Drosophila melanogaster: one gene and its partner. The protein of the gene in region 2 interacts with the protein of the main gene of each other region in a pairwise test. Each region holds a gene or a part of one and is shown on either strand. Other genes may lie near its edges. The genes, in order: CAH15 and CG5726.

Evidence for each region.
Region 1: the proteins of CG5726 (region 2) and CAH15 interact in a two-hybrid assay, tested with the Drosophila melanogaster proteins (one large-scale study listed by BioGRID).

Annotation. Positions count from the first base shown.
Region 1 is NT_033778.4:20,907,252-20,911,916, reverse strand, and holds CAH15 (carbonic anhydrase 15), read right to left. Parts: upstream 2,214-4,665; 5' UTR 2,162-2,213; coding exon 1,163-2,161; 3' UTR 1,116-1,162; downstream 1-1,115.
Region 2 is NT_033778.4:18,174,194-18,182,654, forward strand, and holds CG5726 (uncharacterized protein), read right to left. Parts: upstream 6,005-8,461; 5' UTR 5,640-6,004; coding exon 5,278-5,639; intron 4,341-5,277; coding exon 3,387-4,340; intron 2,872-3,386; coding exon 1,887-2,871; 3' UTR 1,062-1,886; downstream 1-1,061. Other genes in the region: CG10916 (uncharacterized protein), read left to right, coding at 1-408; nopo (no poles), read left to right, coding at 6,529-6,644, 6,704-6,919, 6,978-7,331, 7,392-7,449, 7,505-7,624, 7,681-7,884, 7,947-8,186; CG5721 (uncharacterized protein), read right to left, coding at 8,348-8,461.

The DNA of each region.
Region 1 (4,665 bases), 2.7 Mb from region 2:
TTGCGAATGGGCGCACAGCACAAATATTGACGCAGCACGAAGCAACAAAAGCGTACCGAAACTTGTTTGTATAATTTCATTAGCGTTGATTTGCAGCAAATGCAATTGCAGTAAAATTCACTTGGCCTGTCATTGATTAAACAAGTCGACGTTGCAGGCCTCAAATCGAATTGGATCCGTTGCTCCAAGCCCCCCTTTCATCTCATCTCTGCAATAAAAACTAATTACAGGCCAATGGCCGAACATGGTCGAACTTTCAGCTATATGTGTGTGCATATGTATGTATGTATGGTTAGGCGCCAACTGATAATTATAAGCCTGGAAACTGGAACTCTCTGATTGCCAAGCAGCAGCTGTAATGCAGGGTGGGGTGGAGCAGGCTATGAAGGAGGAGGAGGAGGAGGACAGGAGATGAGGGTGCTTCGCCGCAGGAGGGCCAAAAACCCAATCCCATGCCCGTGCCCATCCCATCCCATTCCGATCCCATTCCCATTCCCATTGCCAATCTCAATACCAATCCCAATCGCAGGGCAAACATGTCCGCAACAGTTTCCGCTGCACTAACGAAATTACAGACGCAGACTCACACGCACACAATCGCATTGCCATGTCCTGCGGCGATTTTGCGCACAGGATGCGGAACAGGCTCAGGTCCTCGGGACCTCGGGTCCCTGCAACGGCTAATGCTAATGCCAATGCTAATGCTCTTTGAACGACTAATTAGTGAATTACTATATAAGCACACTATTTGCCCAGCAAACGGCAACCCAAAGTAAATTGTGCGGAAGACTGACCAGCAGGACCCCGAATCAGAAATACGGCGGAAACCAGGACCAATTAGTAACAACTTGGAAGTACAACATGTACTGACTGCCATGCCACAAGGATTATGTAATAAATTGGATTTTGGTATTTACTGTATGAACGTATGTAATGTAATAATGGTTGTACATAGTTAATTGGTGTTACCATTGTTTCTTATTAAGAAATCTTTATAAGCAATGTAGTTATGCAACTTGCTTCCTGTCTTTACAGATACTGTATATAAATTCAATCTCAACCATAATAAAGTGAAAGGGTTAGTTTGTAGCTGAAAAATATATACATATTCTATTCTGTTTTATCGAATTATATTTTCCACATACACTATAGCCAATCTGTTTTAAAACCCCGTCCTGTAGCGATTTAGGTATACCATTCGATCCCCGATCGGCTGAACTGGACGCGCATTGCGCGCTATCCTTGAACCACGCCTATCCCTCAGCTGGCGGAACTCGTTCAGCTGGCGCTCGCTGATGGCCAAGGACTCGGGATATATTAGCCACTCCGCCCCACGGTGGCAGGGCGGTTCGGTTAGGGATCCATTGTAACTGTAGAACTTGTCGTAGAACGGTGACATGAGGTAGCTAAGTGGAAACGGTGGCACTTCCACCACCTGACCGGCCTGCTCGACAGCAGCGAGATGCTGGATGAGGACATCGAGAAACGGATTGTGCTCGGACAGATCGAACATGTAGGAAATCATTAGGACACCCTGGCTAGAAGAGCAGCCATCGCAACCGTCGCCATCTGTGTGAAGGCACTGCATCTCCAGCGGGCTGTGATGATGGTCCAGTGTGTGCTCCGATCCCAACGAGCTGGCCCAGCTCCAGCGGAACGAGATCTCTCGGAAGTCGAAGCGCCCAAGTAGATCGCCGCCGTCGATGGAGGGCGTTCGTTCTGGAAAAGCTGCTCGCAGGATCAGTGTGTGTCCGTTGTTCTCCAGGCGAATGCCCAGCGGAATGCTATTGTAGTGCGACCATATCAACGGTGTATCAAAGTAGTTGATTTCCACACAGTTCATATCGATGTTGATGGGACTCTGATTGTTGCACGCAGTGTCCCAGGTATGAGGTCCCTGGTCCCAGTCATAATTGTAGGATTCCGGAGAGCCACGAAGCCTTCTGCAATTATCGCCGCCAGCATTTGCACATCCATCGTTCGATCCCTCATCACATCTATTGGCCAAGCTAAATCCTGTGTATACGTTGAACAATACCAATAGGGCCACACCGATGGCCAGGATGAATTTGAGGAGATTGCTGTCCTGGAGTCGACAGGATATGTCTTCTAGCGAGCACCATAGGTAATTTAGCAGACCACAGGTGAGGCATCCCTTCATCACCACAGTTACAAAGTAGAATCCACTCGGGAAAAACTTGCTGGGAAATGATAACTTTATTGGATGACAGCCAGGCACTGGCCTTCCTGGCTGAGCGGGAAAATTGAGAAAATTTCTAATTAAACCCGCTGAAAAGTTAATTATTTTGGAAAACAAATTGGGCGCACAGCGCACAATTTGTGCGAAAACATTTGCAATTTGTTTGCATTTGTATTTTGCATAAATTAATTACGCACAAAACTCTCTTCGGCGGCGGAAATTGCTTGCACAAATATCCTGTGCCGCTCCTGCGTGGACCCGCCCGGCACCTCCCGCCTCCCCCCCGCAACTCTTCTATGTTGCATTTTGGGAAATTAATTAGTTTTGTACGTACAAAATAGGCGAAATGAGCACTAGGAGCGGAACGGAAATTATTTCCAGCACTTCAGCAACACCTTTTGTGCTGCGGCAGGAACTACACAGGAACTTAAAGGATGGATCGTTTCGATTTTTAAAATAGTTAAATACTATATAACCCGATAAACATATTGAATAGGTTTATCGTTAAGTAATTATGATATGCCTCCAAAAATGTATGTATATTAAAGGGTGGCTTTATAATCCAATGAAACCTGAGAAAAATTATCAACTAATCCCCTTTTAATATATAAATTTTCTCTGCGTGTAGGCCCTAGTCGTACTTTTGACTTATGGCCTGTGAAATTCGAGACTTCTCGGCCATCTCTGATTAGCATAAAGTTATCAAAGGACGGCCACGCCCACAGTTCGGTGTTATGCGGGGTGGGTTCCCACTGCGATTCAATTATGGCATTTTTCTGATCAATTCGTTTGGCTTTGATTTGATTTCATTTTTCTGCACTTGTGCAGGGCGTTGACGTCTGCCAAATGTTACAAATTGTCCGTGCTCCGACCTCGCAGGACCTCCTCTCAGCTGCCAGGGTATTTGGTTTGTCCGGGTATCCGGGTGGTATTCGTAGTAGCCGTAGTGTCCGTGGATATGAACATGTCCTGGGGCATGTGAGCTGCACGCAAATTGACGGGTAAGCATGTGGCATAAACGGAAACACTAACATCGTTAGCCGAGTCCTGCCAGAGGGTGCCAAAATAACAGAATACGAATATAACGGAATAACAATCATAACCATTTTTGAGTAACCAGGCCTCCAGGCAGTTGTTTTCATTTGTGACCGAATGACTCGATTTTTATGGTCGCTTAGGGTTAATTGAGGCTGCAGATTCGGTTCAGGGGGTTGCTTGCTTGTCACATTACACAATGTTTGTTTTGGTTACTGCGTTTTTATATCCGGCACATGGACTCTATTTAAGTGGTCCGAGTTGCGTTTGATCGACTTACATAAATCACTGCTACATTCAGATTATGGTTATTTCAGTTGGGAGCGTGATTACATATAAATAAGGATAGCATATTAGGGTTATTATACTAATTATACAATGTACTTGACTTAACTACTTATATCTTAAGATGTGTGCTTTAAGTTTCAGACTCATCGAAATATAATTATGAAATCATCAATATACAAAGCTGTCCCATGCTTTTTTTTCCATAAATACGCAAATTCCGTCGACTGCATCGGCAACTGTAGCACTCACAAACATACAAACATGCAAAGGAAATTTCCGTTTCCGGTCGGAGAAACTTTGTTAAAGCGATGCGAAATGGGAGGCGAGGAAAAACGCATCGCACAATCACGCTGTCTTTGGCCGCAGGATAATGCAAACGAAATTGGTCTCACTTTGAATTCGATTGATTTGTCTGCTGCACGGCTCGATAATATCCTCTTAAATCACTTAACCACATTTGCCGATTACTGCGGCGACCGAAGAAGAATGTCCTTGGCTGTAGGGCGCAGCGGGGCCTCCGGTGTAAATTCGGTGTAAATTTTCACACATTATTCGGATGCCCGGACAAGGACGAGACAATTACTTTGGCTCCGATAACATTGTCTAGTGGGATTTTCTCCACTTCGACGGCCATCTCTTTTGCACACATCGCAAAGCACACAGCTGATAATGTTAATATGCGCCGCAGGACATCAAACACGGCGCAGGCGAGGGTTCAGGACAAGGTATTTAGGGCACTCAACTTTGTTTGGCCAATCCGCTTAGGCCTTTGTATCTCAGTCCGCTATGGAATTCGTTTGGGAGGGTCGGGATTATCGCTTGTCCTGTGTGATTGTTAAATGAACAACGCCTGTGAGAGTGTCTTCTCTGGCGAAACCGCAAGGACATTCTTCAAGATCGTTTTGCGGCCATGTTGCTACTGTATGTTTCACTCTCCCTCTCTATCTCTTTCTCTCTCTCTCTCTCTCTGCATCTCAGCTGCCTGCGAATGTGATCCTGATCCTTAACGCAGCATGCGTCCTTTCTCTACTCCTGTGTTGTTTTCACAGCCTCAGCCTAGCCACAGTTGCCCTCATTAGCAGCTTAGGGGCGTTGACGTGTTTTGCTTGCCGTTGTTGACAATGTTTGCTACTTGCCCGGCT
Region 2 (8,461 bases):
CAGTGTGGCACCAACGAAGACGGACTGCCCACGTATGTGGCCAGAGGATATTACCACGACGATCTCCTGCCTGCTCCTTATGTACCGGAAAAGAAGGCTGCCTTCGGTTCGCACAGCTGTAGCGCCCGAACTCTGACCGATGATGTCGAGATCCTGGTGCTCAACGACTGTGACTACAAGTGGGTGCCCGGACAGCATGGAACATATCCGCGGGATGCTCTGAACACGGGCTACTCCGAGCTGGGTGAGGTCACCTACACGGGTCGTGGTCTTTACCAGGGTATCCTGCGTCTGGGCAAGGTGCATCCTTCCCACAAGGTCATGTACATCCCGCATCATGGTCAAGAGGTGAGCGTAAACACCTACGAAGTCCTGGTGGTCACCCCACGTGACCAGGCAGATCGATGATGCTGCTGATATCTTAAATCTCTTATGCCTTATTGTATGAATCTGTGTTATAAATACATATGTACGTCTTATTCTATTTTTGAAAAAAATCGGATCTATTATTTCTGTACTTGTTTTAAATTCGCTTATCAGTAAGCCAAGATTTGTCCCCAATTTCTTTAATCAAGCGAAAAATTGATAACTTTGTTTTGACTGCCAGCAAATTATGTACAAATAAAAGTCCCCATATACATATGTATAAGTTAGTCTGCTATTTGCTGCCCTCAAGTATGCAATTCTTTATAATAGTTTGGAAAGTGAAGATGTTTGTGACTAGACACGGGTTTAAAAATATTTTGACCTTGACTTGATCAATGCCTACGATAAACGGAAATCTTGGTTTTTTGTATATTGTATCTAAAACGGACCAACTGTCTTCAAAATGGCAAGATTAATAAAAACTGCGGTCTTAAAGCTTTCTTACTATCGCTTTTGTAAAGTATGCACAACCGAGAGTTGCCCACAGAAGTTCTGGAAAGTGGAAACGCAGAAGACGAGGGGAGTCACCCACAAGGATTCGGAAAATACATTCATCCAATCAGGTGATGTAAATACGGAGGTAAGACTATGACATTCTGCTGGTGATTTCAAAAGTTTTCAAAAGAATTTGTTTTAATGTTTGATTAATGATAATGCAATTTTTTTGTTTTATTAAAAATGTGTTAGACGCTATTTATATGCTGATTAGTGTTTTGAACCTACGCATGTTGCGAACATATTGATTATACCTAAACAAAGAGGTTTAAGTATCTATATAAGACTACTCGTATAACTCTACAATTCATGTTTTTCTCTGCACTCCGGCTTGGCTTTGTTGTTCCAACAGAGGGCCTCACAAAATTTGCTTTAAAAATACGTAAGCTTGTATAATTCGTTTAATAAATCGGCTGAACCTGCACTATAACATGACATTTAATATATAAGTATATATTTAGCTAAAAATACAAATTTTTATATGTTCAACATGCTTTTAACATTTCACCAACAGGCGTTTTACTTTTCAATAGAAATAGGATTATTTTTGTTTTTTCATTGACTTTGTACTTAGTTTCTAAGCAATTTGTATATATAAATATAAAAATGAGTGTGTGTGACTGTATTTTGTGTGGGAGTGTTTATGTGGCGTGGTTGTGTGGGACTACACAAGACATTCATATATATATAATTGGTATTTACAAATTTAGTGGCTCCAATGTGTAATGCATGCATGCTTAATATTCTTTAAGCCTGGATTTGAGATGGATTTGTTTTGTGATTGGTCTAAATTGTTTTGTATTGGTTTAACATTTGAGCTCAGTTGAAGACAAAATAATGTGAAAACAGTCTACGTGGATATACACATCCATTAGGAAACATATACGAAGGCGAAACAAATAACTTCTAAACGGACTTCAAAAACAATTTTCGTACATGTGGATGACTTCGTAAAGTGTATAAACTCATTTCTGGGCCGACAAATAGTTCATGTACTGAGTGGTCTGCTGGGCATTCCGCACCAGCTCGCTTTCCTCCTTTCCGGATGGTGGTTGGCCCTTATCCGCCTGCCCCTGCCAGTTCTCCTCGTTCTGCGGCTGATGGATGTCTGGCTGGGAGCGGCGTGTGAAATGGCGGTGCCGCTGGTGCTGATGCTGATGTGGATTTTGTGGCGATGTCTGTTGGCGACGATCAAACGAGCTGGACGCTTCGCTGGCCAAACTGCTTTGGCTGCTGTAACGCGGGAATCGAGGACCACCGCCTGCATGCGTGGGGCTCTGATTGTACCTATAGCCGCCTGATTTATCCATTTGCGATTTTGGCGGTCTCGGCAGAGTGCGAGCCCTGGATGAGCTGCGACTATTCGATTCCGGACCATTCGAGTTGTACGCACAGTTCTCGTCTTGGTAGCCACTGTTTATAGCATTGTTTGAGCGTCGCCAGGAATCGCTGTGTATTTTATGGTTGCCTCCCTGATGTTGCTGTTGCATCTGCTGTTGTTGTTGCTGCTGTTGTTTCTGGAATCGCGGCGGTTTGTCGTAGGTGTTGCGGTTATTGAATCGCCCACCTCGCTTATAGTTGTTTCCGCGCTCGTAGTTACTGATATAAGAGCGCTCACTGCGATCATCGCGATCCCTTTGATCCCAATTCGAGTTGACTATACTATTATAGTTGCCACCGCCAGACATATTGCGTTCGATGCGCTCCTGCGAGTGCTTCCTCCTGTCGTGGATGCTATACAGTCGCAGGTTGCCGCCTCCCTCGCTGCGCACGCTGTGGTGGTCATCGTCGCAGCTCACGCTGTACCGCCGCTGTTGGTCGCGCGACCGTCCGTTACTCTGGTCGCCGTCGTGATTGCGGTTGAAGCGTGTCTTCCGCCAGCTAGGGAGCGGCTTGCTCTCGTCCCGATCCTCGCTGCTGGCCATGGATGGATACTGGTCGGAGCTGGCGCTGTTCAAAAATTTGTGGTTAATATTTTGTCGTTAAATAAATATCGGTAGAATGAAATGAAAATAAATTAAATATAAAAGTTCTCGTTTTTTATAACGATACTTTTGTGTTACCAAAATATCTACAGTAAAGCATACATTAAATAAAATAATGTTATTTAAAATTCCTCAATTAAACTTAAATACTCGAAACTCAGTTCAAATCAAATTTTCGATTGCTTCAAATCAAAATTAAAGAAATGTAAATTAGGATTTAGGACATTTTTAAACAATAGGTGTTAATAAATATTTTATCCTTGACTTACTTAAAGGACTTGAATCAATCTTGGATATGTCTCTATAAATAAATTGCAATATTTTGTTATATATGTATATATATACATAAATTTAATTATTCATCATATTAAAAGATTCCTATCAGTCGTAGAACTTTTTCTAAACGTATGCATGTTAAGTTGTGATTGATTATCAGCTATAAATAGTATTACACTTATATAGTAAAGATTTGGTACATACTCTATGCTGGCTGGTTGTTGGTGCTGCTGCTGTTGTGATTGATGTGACTTCAAAGGACGCGGCACTTGCCGAGGTTGGAATCCGCGACGACGGTGGCCGAGTGAAGCAGAGTTATTCGCTTGATACGAGAGTCCAGATTCGGAGTATCTATCGTCGCCCTGATCCGCCTCACCGTAGCCAGTTTCACAAAAGGAATCCTCGCACACCTGCTCGCTCCACTTCTTTGCCGACGGCCGCGGTTCAAAGGTATCCTGATCCTGGCCGGACGTGTTGGCGCTGCTGCCGTTCTCTGACTGTTGATGCTGAAGCTGCTGTGAGCGGCCATCTTCGGCGAGATCCTGGGGGCCGGAGCCATTATTGTTGACCCCATCCTCTTCGCCATCTTCCACCACCAAGAAGTTGGTGTACATTGTCTCCAGGTCGTGGCCGATATGCTTAAAGTGGCTGTAAAAGAGGTCCAGCACCATCAGTAGCATGGCCTTCACCTTAGCGGTCAGCGCGGGCTGCATGATCAAATGCCGGCGAACGTGGAAGAGCAGTAAATCAATCTCGACCTTATGCCGCTTGCGCATGATCTCCCCATTCAGTGTGATCTGTGACAGCACCAGGCGGGCAATCCGAGTGCCCAGCACCACCGACGTGTCATTGAGCTCGCGGGTAAGCAAGTCCAGCAGGGACTCACCCAAAATGGTGATCGGGGTATTATCCGCCAGCCTTACCCTGTGATAATATTCACCCAGCAGCGTGATCGAGTTGTACAGTCGGTTCTTGTCGTGCAACCGATATGCGTCCGCGTTGAGGAAGTTTGTCTCCAAAATCTTGAGCATGGCGCTGCGCACCTTCGTCTCTTTCATGGCCAGTGCGTCGAAATTTCTCGATGAGAAGAGCAGGGCGAACTTTAGCGCCGTATCACCATCGCTAAGCGCCTTGTCGTTCAGGTACTCCATTGACTCACTGAAAATTGCAAATACAATTAGTTTATTTACTTTTCATTTATTAGTATGTTATAATAATCAAGTCTACTACTACTTCATAATGTTAAAGTTTGCACTACAACTGTGTTTAACACCCCCACTGATATAACGCATAGCAGCATTGTTTGATAAGCCCAAGCTGCGAACTATTTGTTCAGCAATTAACTCGAGCATGAGCCTGAGAGAATCGGAGGGAAAAATGTTCACTTTGAAATGATTCGATGGCGCCGATGTCTCTCTGCCCGTCTTTATTTGTATGAAAAGTTGTAAATTTTCAAGACACGCTGACGTTCGAGCAACCTGGTCGCAAACAACGAACTCGTGCACGAACACATATACACAAATACAGTGCTTTTCAGATTTATAAATCGATTTTTAGACATTTAATAAAATTGAAATGTATATGTAGAAGGTCGCAAAAACTTTTTCGAACCTAAAAATAATGAAGTAAGAAGAAAAGTTTACAAAGTTGCACTTTAAGAACCCAAGGGTTCTTGAACGCGTAAAAACAAATTAACGTTTGAACTTGATTAGTAATTCGGTTTCTGCATTTCAAGCATTTCATTATTGGAATAACTTATAGAATGCTGTAACCTATGGGCGAACGCCACAAGCTCCCAAATTTAACGAATTACTCATGCTACTTGTAATGGAATGTCATAAATATTACAATAAGGATCGGTCTTCGCCAGGCAGATATGTACTGCATGCATTAAGTCTTGTTATCACATGGCTGGCTTTGATGGGCTTGGGAGCTCGCCTTGCCCATATGCTATCGCACCGCACTGTACCTACGCCGGGTATTTACATACATCCATATGTATATGCGAAAAGAGGTGGCAAATAAACACACTACTTATGATATGATTAATCATCAATGAGCGAACCAACCAAACGGTAGAGATCGGCACACATACCAAAGCATAGACTCGTCGCGCACTATGTTGCAGAAGTCCGTTTCGATGGTCTTGATCTTGGAGTTCAGCACAATGCCATCGTCCTGCAGATCAAGGTTCCTCATCAGGGCGATGATGTGGTCGTAGGCATAGCCACCTGTTTGATTTTGATAGGCGGCGGGGCCAGTGTTCAGGATGGTACAAACATCCCGGAGGCGCGCTCCCGTTCCCTCACCACCGCCCCCGCTACCGACACCACTGTGCGAACTGTGACCACTGTCCACCGCACTGTTGTTGTAGCTGTTGTTGCCGTAGGAGGTGGTGTTGCTGCTGCCACCGCCGCCACTGTTGCTGCTGCTGACCATGTTGTTGGCCATTTCCATTTCTCGCCGCGATCACTGCCGTTTGTTGTTGTTATCGCACGGTTGTTTGTCTGTCCCTTCCACACACACTTCAGTGTCTGTTATATTGGTACGCGCGTGTGTGTGAGTCGTCGGTCCACCAAATAAGAATCAGCGTTGACAAAGGTGTCGAAATGCGCACGCCAAATGAAACACCTTTTCGCTCAGCTTCCGCTTTGGGTGCAGGTGCAGTTAGCTCACTGGGACCCACGGTCGATTGAAACGCAAATAACGAACGAAATTAAATGCACAAATTTATAACTATTCCTATTTATTATTGCTATTTGACGACTTTTAAAAGAGGTGGAAAAACATCGATGTGTTGTGTTCTTTAAAACATCGATGTTTCTCCACCTCTAGATAGCATTGTCGCGATATCGAAAGCACACGGTGTGCTTTCGTAAATAGCGCCACAGTGCTCCCGCTGTTATCGATAAGACCACCATGGGGCTAAAGTACGGAGCATAAGTAGCTGGATTTAAGATGGATTGGCAGAATAAAATATGAAATTTATATCCACAGTATATCTTAAGAAGTAGGGTTTAAAAAGTATCCACACATACATATCTTTCTAAAATTTAGGATGAATTTTAGTTTCAGTGGCTGAGTAAGCGTATTTGTAAACATTATTTGTTGTTTCGACTTAAGCCAAGTTAGTTAGCAATTAGTTTGTCGTGGAAATATCTATCAGCTAACAGTTATTGTCTACAATCGATTCTTGACAAATACTGGTGTGGTGAATTCCGCTCATTGGAGCATCGTAAAATCGCCATCAGTCAGCTGTGTTTCGTTGGGCGCGCAAACTGTTCGGCGTGCGTTTATTTGTTGTTCTTTTGTAATAACTATTTTTATGTAGTTATTTGTGCCAAAAATGTTGAACTTAAACTGCGTGATATGCGCCGAATTGTTTGGCCAGGCCGACGAGGTTTTTGCCACAGTTTGTGGTCATATGTTCCACCACAACTGTCTAAATCAATGGCTCGATCGGTAAACAACGCATAAGGATATTTCTGATTCCCGACAATAAAATCAAATATCTTTCGCAGATCAAAGACCTGTCCTCAGTGCCGGAATAAGTGCACTACCCGCAACATATTTAGGGTCTATTTCAATCTGGCCAACTTGGATGTGAGCCACATCGATGTTGGTTCACTGCAGGAGCAGCTGGACAATGCGATGTTGTCCATGAAAATGGTCGAAAAAGAGCGCAACAAGGATGAACAGCAGATTCGGGATCTGAAGGAAACACAAAAGAAGTGCCTGTATGCTTTTGTATACACATTGCCTTAAGTACCAGACTGATGCATTTCTCATTTGCAGCAAAACCATAGCCGGTTTGGAGCAGAAGGTGCAAAAGAAGGATTTTCTCATCAGCAGCTATGTCGAGCAAATTGGCGTCCTCAAGAGTGATGCCCATGTCGTTGATGGGTTGCGCAAGGAAAACAAAACATTGAAATCACAGATCCAGAGTATGGAAGGCATATCGGCTATTCTGGCGGCTGGCTCGGCGGATGCCGACCGCTTGCTCAAGAACGAGGCTGATCCACATGTCCTAGCCAACTGGGTGTCCACTCTCAAGAGGGAGTTGCGACAATGCGAGAGCAAAAAGACGGAGCTCAGGAATGTAGTGAAGGTGGTGCAGAATGATCTGCGAAAGGAGATCGAACTAAAGCGGTATGCTCACAACATTCCAAACGTGGTTTTTATAATTGATATGTGCTCATTCGATTGCAGCAAGCTGGAAGAGCGTGTTTCACACCTGGAGAGCGACCTTTACCAGGCGCAGGAGAAGGTTTGCTGAGCCTTCTTTAACACAATTTCGATTAAACATACTATTATCTTTTCAGCTACAAGCTTTTGAGAACAAGACCGCTTACTTGGACTCACCAAATGCCTCTTGTGGTCTGAACAGCAACATTTTGGCCCTTAAAAGGGAGGAAAGGCGTACCACTATTTCCCCTACAGTTGTGAGTAGACACGAATAAACGAAAATATAAGCTACTAATATTTTGCTGCCCTACAGAAGGAGAATATTAAGCGCATCGAAGAATCCACCTCCCCATATCTCAACATTAAATCCAGCAGCGTCGGGTTGGCGCATCTTCTTAATACTAAGGGTAACATTGGGCTGGCCAAGTCTAAAATATCGCCCATCAAGGGAGTCGGTGGCGGTGTGTCTATGACCAGCGGAACCATACGGAAAACCAGCAGTGATCTCAGTGAAAAGGTAAACGCAATAATTTTGCCGAATTCCACTTAACCATTTAAAAATTCCGTATATTCCCCCAGTATTCAATCTTCAAGAAGCCAAGACTGCTGCTGGGAAGTTCAAGTAGTTCTGCGTTGACGGCCACGACGGGCTCAAATTTTGTCTACAATGGAATGGGCGGTTCTGAGAAGGTTGACCCCTTTGCGCAGCGCGCCGAGGAAGAGGGTCTTTCCACAATCAGATCCTCGACCGCCCTTTCCCGGAATGTCAACCAGCGTCTTAAAGCCGGCTCGCTGCGCAACTTTAACCTGGGCAAATAAGTCCACAGCCATGTGATCATAAGAGACTGCCCCAGTTGGGTATTAGCACGCGATTGGTATTGAGGATTGCCGATTTTGTTAGTTAGCCAATGCATGAATTAAGCAATAGTAATAATTTAGCAGTAAATATATAAAAATACAAAAGGCATATGTGTGTGCGATTAGGCGGCAATTTTTTTCTCCGCCGTGCCCGTCCATTCCTCGCGCAAGTGGACACTACAGCCGAGGTCGCGCAACGCCGCCTTGATGTCCTGCTCCACACTGGGGTGCTCCTT